Mus musculus: one gene and its partners. The protein of the gene in region 3 purifies or fractionates together with the protein of the main gene of each other region. This does not show direct contact. Links are inferred from orthologs where the notes say so. Each region holds a gene or a part of one and is shown on either strand. Other genes may lie near its edges. The genes, in order: Eif3i, Eif3h and Eif4g1.

Evidence for each region.
Region 1: the proteins of Eif4g1 (region 3) and Eif3i purify together in Homo sapiens (affinity purification with mass spectrometry; 5 studies listed by BioGRID and IntAct, counting the BioPlex papers as one, with this or other methods). This does not show direct contact. The link is inferred for Mus musculus from reciprocal best matches to the Homo sapiens genes EIF4G1 and EIF3I.
Region 2: the proteins of Eif4g1 (region 3) and Eif3h purify together in Homo sapiens (affinity purification with mass spectrometry; 4 studies listed by BioGRID). This does not show direct contact. The link is inferred for Mus musculus from reciprocal best matches to the Homo sapiens genes EIF4G1 and EIF3H.

What each region holds. Positions count from the first base shown.
Region 1 is NC_000070.6:129,597,828-129,602,181, reverse strand, and holds the start of Eif3i (eukaryotic translation initiation factor 3 subunit I), read left to right. Parts: upstream 1-1,533; 5' UTR 1,534-1,585; coding exon 1,586-1,588; intron 1,589-1,680; coding exon 1,681-1,773; intron 1,774-3,139; coding exon 3,140-3,227; intron 3,228-4,354. Other genes in the region: Tmem234 (transmembrane protein 234 isoform 1 precursor), read right to left, coding at 1,048-1,199, 1,451-1,466. UniProt on the Homo sapiens protein: Component of the eukaryotic translation initiation factor 3 (eIF-3) complex, which is required for several steps in the initiation of protein synthesis.
Region 2 is NC_000081.6:51,862,629-51,866,820, reverse strand, and holds the start of Eif3h (eukaryotic translation initiation factor 3 subunit H), read left to right. Parts: upstream 1-1,359; 5' UTR 1,360-1,363; coding exon 1,364-1,495; intron 1,496-4,192.
Region 3 is NC_000082.6:20,675,681-20,679,239, forward strand, and holds part of Eif4g1 (eukaryotic translation initiation factor 4 gamma 1), read left to right. Parts: intron 1-49; coding exon 50-149; intron 150-2,005; coding exon 2,006-2,118; intron 2,119-2,901; coding exon 2,902-2,994; intron 2,995-3,203; coding exon 3,204-3,270; intron 3,271-3,532; coding exon 3,533-3,559.

The DNA of each region.
Region 1 (4,354 bases), on a different chromosome or scaffold from region 3:
AGACCTGTCAGGGGCTGCCTGCGTGTGCAACGGCTTTCCCAGTTCTCAACCTTCCTAATGCTGCGACCCTTTAATCCAGTTCCTCATGTTGTGGGGACCCCCCAACCATAAAATTATTTTCATTGCCACTTCACAACTGTAATTTTACTACAGTTATGGACTGTCACGTAAGTATCTGATATGCAGGATATCTGGTGTCAGACCCCTTGCCAGTTGTTACCCAGTTCGAGAGTCCCTGTTCTGGCTTGCACCTTCCCACGGGGGTTGGCATGGTTACAAATGCTCAGGGACCGCTCATGTGTTTGAAGACCCCTTAGAGCAAACAGAGAAACGCATTCAATGTACTCTATTGCCTTAAATGCCCTCTCCCTCGTCATGGCCAGTTCCCATCGTCCCTGCTGGTATAAGGCCTTGAGTGACAGTGTTACCCCTTCTAAGTAGCCCACTCCATGTCCTCCAGCTTCATCTCTCTGTACAGAATTCACACAGTACTATAAATATAGTACCTCTCTCCTTCCCCCTAACCCTCAGAGTAGGGCATATCTAGCTAGCTTACATAGGCAGCCATGGGCAGTTCTCGATAGCTTTCCTTATGTTCTACCCCAGGGCAAGTTGAGCCGAAAGAAAGCTCAACTTGGTGATGATGACCTTAAGAGTAGTCCTGGAGCCTGGCAGTGGTGGCGCCTTTAATCCCAGCACTCAGGAGTCAGATGCAGGCTGATCTCTGAATTCGAGGCTAGTGAGTTCAGGGTAGCCAGGGATACACAGAGAAACCCTGTCTCCAAAAACAAACAATAAGCAAAAATAGTCATTGATTGAACATGTACCCTGTACTAGGCCCAATGCTAAGTGTTTTATGTGTCTTACTTGAGTTCTTATATCAGCCCTATACAAGGGTTATCATTAAATTTTCCATTTTTTTGACGAAACAGACTCACAGAGGATAAATGACTCTTCCAGGAACTTCTAGTGAGTAAGAGATGGGCTGGGAATACGGCCGACCTATGGTGAAATTTTCAGGGGCTCGTCCGTGAGAGCTAGACGCACCTCAGTATTCCCGAAGAGAGCCTTTATCTCCTGCAACAGCTGCCAGGCCCACGTCCGCTCACGCACTTGCTCCAGGCCGGAGGAGGCTCGCTTCAGCAGCGGCTGCGTGCCACCCCACAGTGCGGCCACCAGCACCAGAGCAAGCACCTGCCCTGAAAGCAAAGGGTCAGAAAGTCACCCGGGTCCTCCTCCGGCCTCCTGCACCCTGCTGCCCGGCTCCATCTCCCTCCCTCCCTCTTCCCGCCGGGCTGTGATCGGTCGGGAGGACCCGCCCAGAGGGCGGCCGAAGTGAGACCAGGGTGCGTGGCTCAGCATTCCTGAGGCTCGGGGATGCCAGGAGACTGAGAACAGAGCTCCCGAGCCAGAGTCGGAGCCCGCGGAGGTGGGGGGCCCGGCTACCCACCCCAGGACGCCGCCATGAAAACGCCAGGCCCTTCTACTTCCGGGAGCGAGAGGGCGGAGCCCCCGCATCCGGAAGTCGTCCCTAGTCTTTTTCCGGTCCCACTCACATTGCCTCTCTCCTCGCGTCACCGCCAGGATGGTGAGTTCCAGGCGCGGCGTGCTGCCGTCGGGGGGCCTCAGTAGGCATGGGACGGGGTTCCCGGCACTGACACCCCGGTTCTGTCCCCACAGAAACCCATCCTGCTGCAGGGCCATGAGCGGTCCATCACGCAGATCAAGTATAACCGCGAAGGAGACCTTCTCTTCACCGTGGCCAAAGACCCTGTGAGCGACTGCGTGAGGGCGGGCGGCCGGGGGTCCGGGGCGGGGGGCCCGGAGGGGGCGAGTTCGCGCCGCCCGGACTGCGGGTGGACAAGGTTTACTGCCTGCGGGAGGGAAATTTTTCTGATAAGTAGGGAAAACCAACCCCATACCGCGGTAGGTTGGCGACAGCATTCCGCCAGGGAAATCTGGAAGGGAAGGGTACCTAGCCAGGGAGAAGAGAATCAGGAGACTGGAAGGGAGCCCAGGGACAGGACAGGACAGAATCAAGTGGTCTGTTCAATCCCACTTTGTTTCCTTTGGGGATTGTCTTTTGAGGCATTTGCATTGGAGGCAATAAACTGATAGTTAACAGTGGAGAGTTAAGTCGGAGCTTGAGATCTGAGCCCTAACTCCTGCTCCTACTAAGCAGTGTGACTTTGAACATGACATTTACCTTTTCTATAAACCACAGTTTTCCCTTTTAATAAAACATGGAGACTTTAATTAGCTCCCTCAGCAGAGTGAGGTCATTTCTGTAAATCGTTTTGCACTGTACCCGATGCATGTAAGTCACTTATTTTAAGTTTCATAGACATGGTTTCATTGGAGCTTCACAGCTGCCCTTTGAAGAAAGCTGTTGACAAGAGTGGGGTATCTGTCCATGGTGGCCAGCACACCTCTCCATCCTCCTGCCTCAGCCTCCTGGTCTTGGGAATACAAGTGTGTGCTACCACACACAGCCCCTCCCAGTCATTTTTTTTTTTTAATGTATGTGTGTGTAATGATTTTGTTTATTTTATGTGTATGGGTGCTTTGCTGCATTGTATGTCTACATAGCATGTGAGTGCCTGGTGCCTGTGAAGGCCAGAAGAGGATATCAAATCTCCTGGAACTGCAGATACAGATTGTTGTAAGCCATCATGTGGGTGTTGGGAATCAAACCCAAGTCATCTGGAGGAGCAGCCAGTGCTCTTTAAGCTCTGAGCCTTCTCTTCAGCTCTCCTAGCCATTTAAAGGAAGGGAGCTCTGTATTTAAGATCACACAGTGAGCTAGTGACAAAGCAGTGGAGCCCATACATCCTTACTGTCATCCGGAGTCAATTGAACAGGACCCGAAAGGTTTTTTTTCACACTGCAACTCAGGTTGGCCTTTACCTCTTCTGACTCCAGACAAAAGCACATGAGGATGCTATTGGAGGCCTGGCTCTTCTACAGCTTATGTTAGGAAAGGAGGAGAACCCAGGAGCTGGGCGGTCCTATCAGCTCTTCACTGGTAAATGAGCAGAAGGCAAACCTGGCTTGGCTAGAGCCTGCAGAGGGTTTGTAGTGCAAGCTAAGCTATTGATTATTTTGGGATGTGACCATCCTATCATTTTACTCTTTCCAGATCGTCAACGTGTGGTACTCTGTCAATGGGGAGAGGCTAGGCACCTACATGGGCCACACTGGAGCTGTGTGGTGCGTGGATGCTGACTGTATCCTTTTGGCCATGGGTTAGCCAGCCTTGGAGATACTGGCTTTGGCATGTTGTGGCGGTCTAGAGAATAACACTCCCTACTCCCAGCTACTTCATCCTGTGGGAAACTAGGACAGGTTCAAGTTTGGGAATTCAGAGGTCAGGGCACTCTGAGGTAAAAGTGAGAAAGTCTCTTTGGGACTGACCTGGGAGATGCTCTGATGGCTTCCAAGAAGATATGGACTAGGTGGACTATGTATTCTTATTTGTATATATGTGCGTGGTGAATCTGTGTGCACAGGAGTAGGGACAAATGGAGGCATCAGGTCTTAAGTTGTTCTTCAACCTTTTTTTTTTTTTTTAATCTTTTTTATCATTTTTCTTTTCCCTAAAGATTAGGGGTTTTGGTTTTGGTGTTTTTTGGTTTTTGGGTTTTTTTTTTTTTTTTTTTTTTGTTTGTTTTTCAAGACAGGGTTTCTCTTTATAGCCCTGGCTGTCCTGGACTGTCACTCTGTAGACCAGGCTGGTCTCTGCCTCCTGAGTGCTGGGATTAGAGGCATGCGCCACTACTGCCCAGCTTAAAGATTGGTTTTATTTGTATGGGTGTTTTGCTGCATATGTGTCTGTGTACCTTGTGTGTACTTTGCTAGCCATTTTCCTTTAAATGACAGAAGGCCGCAGATCCCTTAGGACAGGAGTTATAAATGGTTGCGAGCTACTATGTGGGTGCTAGGAACCTAACTGGGTCTTCTGGAAGAGCAGCCATTGCTCTAACGACTGAGCCATCTCTCCAGCTTTGTTTGTTTGTTTGTTTGTTTGTTTAGGGGTTTTTGGTTTGGTTTTTGGTTTTCTTTTTTTTTCTTTTTAAATTTTTTTAAGGTTTATTTATTTTATATGTGTGAGTACACAGTAACTATCTTCAGACACACCAGAAGAGGACATCAGATCCCATTACAGATGGTTGTGAGCCACCATGTGGTTGCTAGGATTTGAACTCAGGACCTCTGGAAGAACAGTCAGTGCTCTTAACTACTGAGCCATCTCTCCAGCCCCTGTTTTTTGGTTTTCAAGACATTGTCTCACTATGGTAGCGTTGGCTGTCTTGGAACTCTCTGCAGACCAGGTAGGCCTTAAGAGATCCACCTG
Region 2 (4,192 bases), on a different chromosome or scaffold from region 3:
TTGAGTACTTTGGTGCTGAACTCTGGGTCTTTACTTCGGCTGGCTCGTCTAATACAGATCTGGTGATGGAAAGGTAGCTAGTAGGGACTTCTCTGAAGGGACTCTAGCCAGCCCAAGCACTGCAGGCATCGATCTGTTAGGCCTTGCCCTTCTCCCCCCATTCCCTCCATCAAACCAAACCAACAGATTGCATTCCTAAAGCTAGCCAACAAGGTCCATTCCCTTATTTGGCCACTTCCTCCTCCTGTGGATGACTACCAAAGTCCAGCTATCAAAGGAAGTCCAGCACTCAGCACCTCCCTTGGCTCACCTAATTAACATACCCAATTAAAATTAAGCACTTCATCCTAATATGGGTTTTCCCCTTCACCTTTACAAGCTGCCATTGTCACATTTGTGTCCCTGCTTTCCAGAGGCAGTGTCCTGTCAAACTATGTATGTTGTAGGATTAGCTAGTGGATATTTTTTCTTTATAAATACCACACAGTTTTAACTCCCACTTAATTCTTTTGAGAGTTTTATTTCTGCTTTTTAACACCCTGCTACTGCTTTCTAGTGTAACTCTTCTATGATGCACCTTTGATACTTTGTGGAGATTTTCTCTGTGAGCCAGGATGCTAATATTCCTTCTAGACTTGTAGAAGTGGACATTGAATCATTGAATCATTAGTAACATTTTAATCCTTGCTGTCAGATTGATGCATAACAAACCCCAAATAATAGCAACAACAAAAATTAAAGGTTAGCATACAATATTTTCTGCCACAGTGTGACCATTTCATTACTTTTGAATAAGGAGTAGGGAAAAAGTCACTCTAAAGCAGAGAATTATTACAATGGCTTCCTACAACAGATGTAGTGTTTTCCAGTCACGATAATATGTATTTCAGAGCTCATGTCATAGGTCAGCATTATTCGTAGAGTCTGCATTCTGAATACTTACCATGACATCAACTTCCACACTACAACACTACAGAAAAGAACTTCTGAGTATTTTACCCAGGTAAATCTTTCATTTTAGAGACTGATCAAAGTTAACCATGTTTTAGACATTTTCTGTATATTCTGAGTGGGTGTAGAATAATGGCTCTTGCTTCTAAGCTCTTTCTCTGTAGTCAGAGTGACCCTAATCAATTACTGTGGGTTGAGCAGTACGGGCCAAACTCCGCGCGTGCGCAGAGGATTCCCACAATCTCAGGGAGGGTTGGGGGAGGGAGAAACACCACCGAGGAGGCGGGGCCCTGCCCAGCCTGCTTCCAGACACCGCCCCCCCCACCCCCAAAGCCTTAACATAGCGTCACGGAGCCTCGTAGTTCCGCTTCCGGCGCCTCACGCTTCTCTTTCTTCCTGTCTGGCTGGAAACATGGCGTCGCGCAAGGAAGGCACCGGCTCTACCGCCACCTCCTCCGGTTCTGCTGGCGGCGCGGTGGGGAAGGGCAAAGGCAAAGGCGGCTCCGGAGATTCGGCCGTGAAGCAGGTGCAGATCGACGGCCTGGTGAGTGCGGGTTGCGGCCACAGGCCCACGTGTGAGGCTGATCCCTGCCGGGCGCGCTTCCTGCCGCCTTCCCCAGGCGCGGGCTGACCGCGCTCTCCCCTCGGCGCCCTTCTCCTTCATCTTCACTTTTGCTCGAAAGACACCGCAGCCTTCCCTGTTTTCCGACGAGAGACCTGAGTGCTGAGAAACGGGGCCGGAATGGGGGTATGGGACAGCTTGGCGTGGTCTGGCTTTTAGAGGCTCAGGAGAGGAGGGGTTACAACCGAATGACAGTTGTGATGGGAAGGATTTAGGGTTCTGTTTGGGGCTCTAGGGAGAGGAGTGAGGGGAAAGGAAACACCTTGGCTTCCCGGAGGGGCGTTTGCCAAGTGCATTCTCAATAGATTTACTGTGTTAGCGTGTGTTAACTTTACCTGGGCTTGCAGAACTGGGGTAAAACTCTTAGGCAGAGTTCAGCGTGAACCCAAGAAGCCATAGGACACAGCCGTAAGTTTATTTCTGCATAAGATCCATGACTTAGAGTATCTGGGGAAGCTCGGGGGAAGGTAGTGGATGGAAGAGAAAATATGCGAATCTAGAAATGAGGTGGGGTTCTAAGCTTTAGGAACCTTCCTCCTGAAGGTTGTGGTGGCACATGTCTTTACCCTGAGCACAGGTGAGGCCCAGGCAGGCAGAGCTCCACGAGTTTGAGGTCATTTGGCACCGAGATCTTGTCTCAAAAAGAAAACCACAGAGAAAAGAAAAAGGTCATCGTCGTCGTCTTCTTCTTCTCCCTTCTTTCTCCTCCTCCTTCTTTTCTTCTTTTTTCTTTTTTCCCCAAAGCACCCTTTTCTCTCAAACCAGTTTTTAGGTATTATCCATTAGGTATTTTCTAAAGACTTTTTTTTTTTTTTTTTTTTTTTTTCGAGACAGGGTTTCTCTGTGTAGCCCTGGCTGTCCTGGAACTCACTTCGTAGACCAGGCTGGCCTCGAACTCAGAAATCTGCCTGCCTCTGCCTCCCAAGTGCTAGGATTAAAGGCGTGCGCCACCATGCCCGGCTAAAGACTCTTGTAATAGGGATTTTTTAATTTATGTGAAAATTGTGATTGCAGCAGGCAGTGTTTAAGTGGAAATTATTAGTAATTTCACTTTGGACTATAGTTTAGTTAGATTGTCATGAGGCTTTTTTGTGTTTGTTGTTTAATATAACCTGATGTTTATAGACTTAGTCTCTGTGGCCCTAAGAAGTTGGCCTTAACCAGCTTTAGTTACCTCATGTGTTCAGATGGGATTGAGAAGTAGTTAGGCATTGGTGTATCGTTTGGATTATGTGAAAACCTGTATGTGGTGAGCATGGGAGACTGTAAGCTGTGCTTGTTACTGACTGTAATACCTGTGGATGTCAGAGTTTGAAAGATGCAGGGAAGAGCTTAAGTTTAGAAAGCTTTATGCCTCCAGTTAAGTATCACTTGCATAGTACTGTGAAAAAGAAATGTTAGGTTGTTTACTTAGCTGACAGTTTCAGCTTTCAATGGCTTTTTGAGGCAGGTGCCTTTTAGGAATAAATAATACATGTTTAAAGATCGCAAATTAGTTGGTGGGTGGACTTGTAAAGTATCATTTCAACACTTGGAAAGTATTTTAAGTCATAACTTATGTCTTAACTGCATTTTTGTATAATTTGAAACCACTCTTTGAATTACTTGGCTTCTAGAGTTGTAAAAGTCAACAGGTAGGTGTTATAAATCTGCCTGGTAGATGTAATTACAAGTATGTATTTATTTTAGGACTGGGTTTGGACATGGTGGTCCACACCTGTAATCCCAACACTTGGGAAGGTACAGCAGGATTCTGGGGAGTTGTCCAGCAGCCTGGGCTACGTAGTGGGACTGACTGTCAAACACGACACAGTAGAACATACTTTTAGGGCAGTCTTGTAACTGCCGAGCTGTCTCAACAGGAACAGTGTCAGGGTGCCTTAAGATTGCAGCAGGTGGGAACAGACAGGGCCATTTGAGTTCAACCGGCAGGCAGTGGGCCTAGGAAAGTCAAGACACTTATTCTTAGTTCTGGATTCATGGCTCACTGTTTTCTTTTATCTGGGGACTGATTATTGCTCTTCCTAAGAGATTGTGTTAGAAGTTTGGGTGTTGATAGTTTACTATGAAGATACACTTTTCAGTGACAAAAATACTCATGTCTTCACTCAAAAGGGCCTCTTGATTATCAGGGGTCCTGACAAATCATATTGTGACTCAGAAGCTTATGAGTGACCCTGATGAGTTATAAAAAGGGACACTCAGATGGTTAAGTGCCTTTACTTAGTGAGCCATCATGCTGACCCTTAGTTCAAATCTTGGTATTTCCTTTAAAGATATCTTAATTTTTTTTTTCTCATTCATTTAATTTAAAACCTCGAGTCCTAAATCCTTTTATTAGATGCTTTCAGTGAATTCAAGATCCATCAAGGTGTAGTTTTTGCTTACATGTTCTTGGTTTGTGTTGAGTTTTTTTTTTTTTTTTTTCCTCTTCCCAGTTCTTTCTTCACTTTGTCCAGAATGTTCACCTTTGGCCAGTTAGCCATTCCCTGACTAGGTTTGTCTTTTTTTTTTTTTTTTTTTTTTGTCTATGGCATTCCACTTTTTCTCCTTGTCATGTATATTATTGCCACATGTGGCTTAATAGAGCTACGATTTTCATCTATAGTTTAATTTGAA
Region 3 (3,559 bases):
TTTTTCTCATCTCTTTCTTTTCCCTCTTTTCTTCCCCAACCCCCTTCAGGGGCGTTCCACATATGTTGTCCCAACACAGCAGTACCCTGTGCAGCCAGGAGCCCCAGGCTTCTATCCAGGTGCAAGCCCTACCGAGTTTGGGACCTATGGTAAGCCGGGCAGGGAGTAGGTGGGGAGAGTGTATCCTAGGGAACAGCTTAGGTGGTCAGTATTTCTAAATGCTAAGCTATTCTTCTGTATGCTTTTGGTTTTTTAAAATGATAGGATTAATAGATGATGGGGATTAGTGCCTAATATTTAACATATGTTGGTAAAGGAAGTTTTGATCCTTTGCCAAGAGAGTTGGAATCTTTCCTACTTCAAGAAGTAAAAGTGTACACTCCTTTAATCCCATCCAGCACAAAGGAGGCTGAGACAGGCGGATCTCTTAAGTTTGAAGCCAATCAGGTCTATGTAGTGAGTTTAGGACAGCCAGCGGTACATAGTAACACCCTGTCTCAAAACAAAGAAACAGGGTTAGGAACTTCAGTCTGGCTCTGTGGGTCAAAGTACCTGCCCCCAAACCTGATGACCTGAGTTTGATCACTGGGACCCAGGTGGTAGGAAGACAGCTGACTCCCACTAGTTATTTTCATATTTCCACTCAGCCCATGCACACGTAAATGAATGAATAAGCTGATCATTTAAAAAAGAAAGGGCTGGAGGTATAGCCCAGTGAATTGCTCTTGCAGAGAGGCCAAGTTCCGTACCAGCACCCGTGTTAGGCAGGTCACAGCTGTCTGCAACTTTCAACTCTTGGTGGATCCAACCCTTCTGGACCTTCTGGATACCTCACAGAGACATACCTCCACATAGACACATAATAAAAATATACTGAAAGACATACAGGCTCTGACCTGAAAGCCAAGTTAGTGAACTTTACATGGGCTTTCTTTTCATAGTTGGGAGACAGTAATGTGGATTTGAGTGGTTTTTGTAGCTAGTTCTCATTTATGTTCAAAGAAAAAACTCTGTGAACTTTATTGGCTTTATTTATTTTGTGGTTTTTTTTTTTTTTTCCCTCGAGACAGGGTTTGACTGGTCTCAAACTCAGAAATCCACCTGCCTCTGCCTCCCGAGTGCTGGGATTAAAGGCATGCACCACCACGCCCGGCTTTTATTGGCTTTATTTGAGACAGTCTTAGGTAGTTCTAACTTGGCCTGAAATTTGTCATGTAAACCAGGCTAGTCTTAAACTTGCAGTGTTCCCCCTGCCTCTAATTGCTGGAATTACAAGCATATGTTAGCATGCTAAGCTTGCAGCAGTATCTTTAAAAAAAATTTCCCATCAGGAAGATCTTATGTATATGTATATGTATAGTTGTGTGTGTGTGATTAAACATATAACCACCATTGATACTTTCAAAAGGAATAAGTGGGAACTAGGGATGAGCTACAAATTTACCCCGCTTTGGAAACAATTGCTTTAGGGAATTTTTATTTCTCTAAGCTGGATGTTACTTTTTGTTATGGTTGCCCCTTGCAAAGGGCCGAGTTAGGAATTTGAGTCAGCTTAAGTGGGACAATTTGGAAAACCCTGTTCATTCCCTGCCAAAGAGCTAATTGTGTCTCAAGTTGAGGGTGTGCATGTGTGTTGCTGGGTTGGGATGTGTGTGTGTGTGCGTGCGTGTGTGCGCGCGCGCACACACACACACACACACACACACACACACACGTGTATGAATGAATGTCTTGTGGGGTAGAACAGGTACTTGGTAGCTAGTGTAGAGAGGAAGGAGTTCCTTCCTATAAGGTGTGTGTATCTGTGAGGAATTCTTGTAAATGCAGTTCAAACTGGTTCCCCTGCTTTGACAGACACCTAATTCCCTGGGGAGGCGGGCAGGGCAGGGCAAGGGGCCGGCTGTGTATGATGAGAGGTTCTGCAGTGGGAGGTGTTCAAACGCATATTAGTATATGTTTGGATCTTGAGGCTGTCACGAATCTTTTCTGTCCTTCTTCCCCCAAGCTGGAGCCTATTACCCAGCCCAAGGTGTGCAGCAGTTTCCTGCTAGTGTGGCTCCTGCCCCAGTTTTGATGAACCAGCCACCCCAGATTGCTCCTAAGAGGGAACGGAAAACTGTAAGTAGCAGCTAGGAGCTCTGGGATACCTGGAAAGGGACACTCATGGTCTGCTGTTGGCTGGAATGTTGCGCTTGTGGGAGCAAAACTTCATAGACCTGAATGTAAGCAGAGAGTAAGGTCTGTGGAGAAGTCCCTTGTAAGGGGATTGTTCTGTAGAAGAACTCAGAAGACGACTTGGGCAGCAGGGAAAGACCCAAGAGACTTGGGCTCTAGTAGGTTCACAAGATGTGTGGTTGTTTTGGGGATGCTGGTGGTTAGCTTTGGAAATGGTTTGTTTTCTGTGCTCCTAACTCCTTGGTCCTGGAAGCTCTGGAGGCCTCCGCCTCTGCTCAGTCCTCAAGCCCTGGGCACGGTGCCCAGAATAGGGTGCCAGGGCTGGGGAAGCCGCTGAGTCACCCTGGCTCCACCCACTGCATCTGGGCCCTACCCCTAGAGATCAGACCGACTAGCCACAAGTGAGCTAGCCGGATGTTTGATGGGGGTCTTTAGGCCTAGGGTGTTTGGCTATTGACTTAGGGATTGCTGGTGGGTAGAGGGGAGGGAGGGAGGGGCATTGTGATGTACTGGGCTGCTCTGTGAGGTCAAGAGTCTTGGGGTGGGGGCTAGGGCAGCGACTACAAGAGCAGCCGGATGGGTTGACAGTAGAACTCATGGGGTTTCTGGCACCCACCCACCTGCTTCCCAGTAGGGGTGGGAGGTTGGCCCAGAGTGTTAGGAGGGGCAGGGTGGAGAGGTGGGCTTCTTCTGCTTCCCACTCATCCTATAGCTTTTTTTCCCCAGATCCGAATTCGAGACCCAAACCAAGGAGGGAAGGATATCACAGAAGAGATCATGTCTGGGGCCCGCACTGCCTCCACACCCACTCCTCCCCAGGTACTGTCATATCTTTGAGTGATACCTTGGTTTGGACAGCTATTCTGCCCTAGATTCCGAAGTCACTTGATCTTTCCCTTCACCTTAGGGGTTTGTTTCCCATTTCCCTGCTTTCCTGGATTTCTAGGCAGAGCTAAAGTAGAAATGACTCTAGTAGAGAAGGGTGTGGAACTCTTCAGTGCAAACTTATAACGCTTTGTGTCCTGCAGACGGGAGGCAGTCTGGAGCCTCAACCCAATGGGGAGTCGCCTCAGGTTGCTGTCATTATCCGGCCAGGTAAGGAAGGCAGTGGCACAACCTTTACGGGGGAAGTGGGGAGTGTGAGGATTTACACTTGAAGGAGTGATTCAAACTGAGTACCAGAGAATGACTTAGGTGTCCTGTAGTGGGTTTGAAGTTGCACTGTTTGGATGAGGGGTGAGAACAGCCAAGGTGGGAGAAGGTTGGGATGTGTTTTGTTAAATTGGAAGTAAGCTTCACTAAGAGGAAGAACAAGAACAGTGAAGGACTTGCTGTCATGCATCCATTCTTCCTGCAGATGACCGGTCGCAGGGAGCAGCCATTG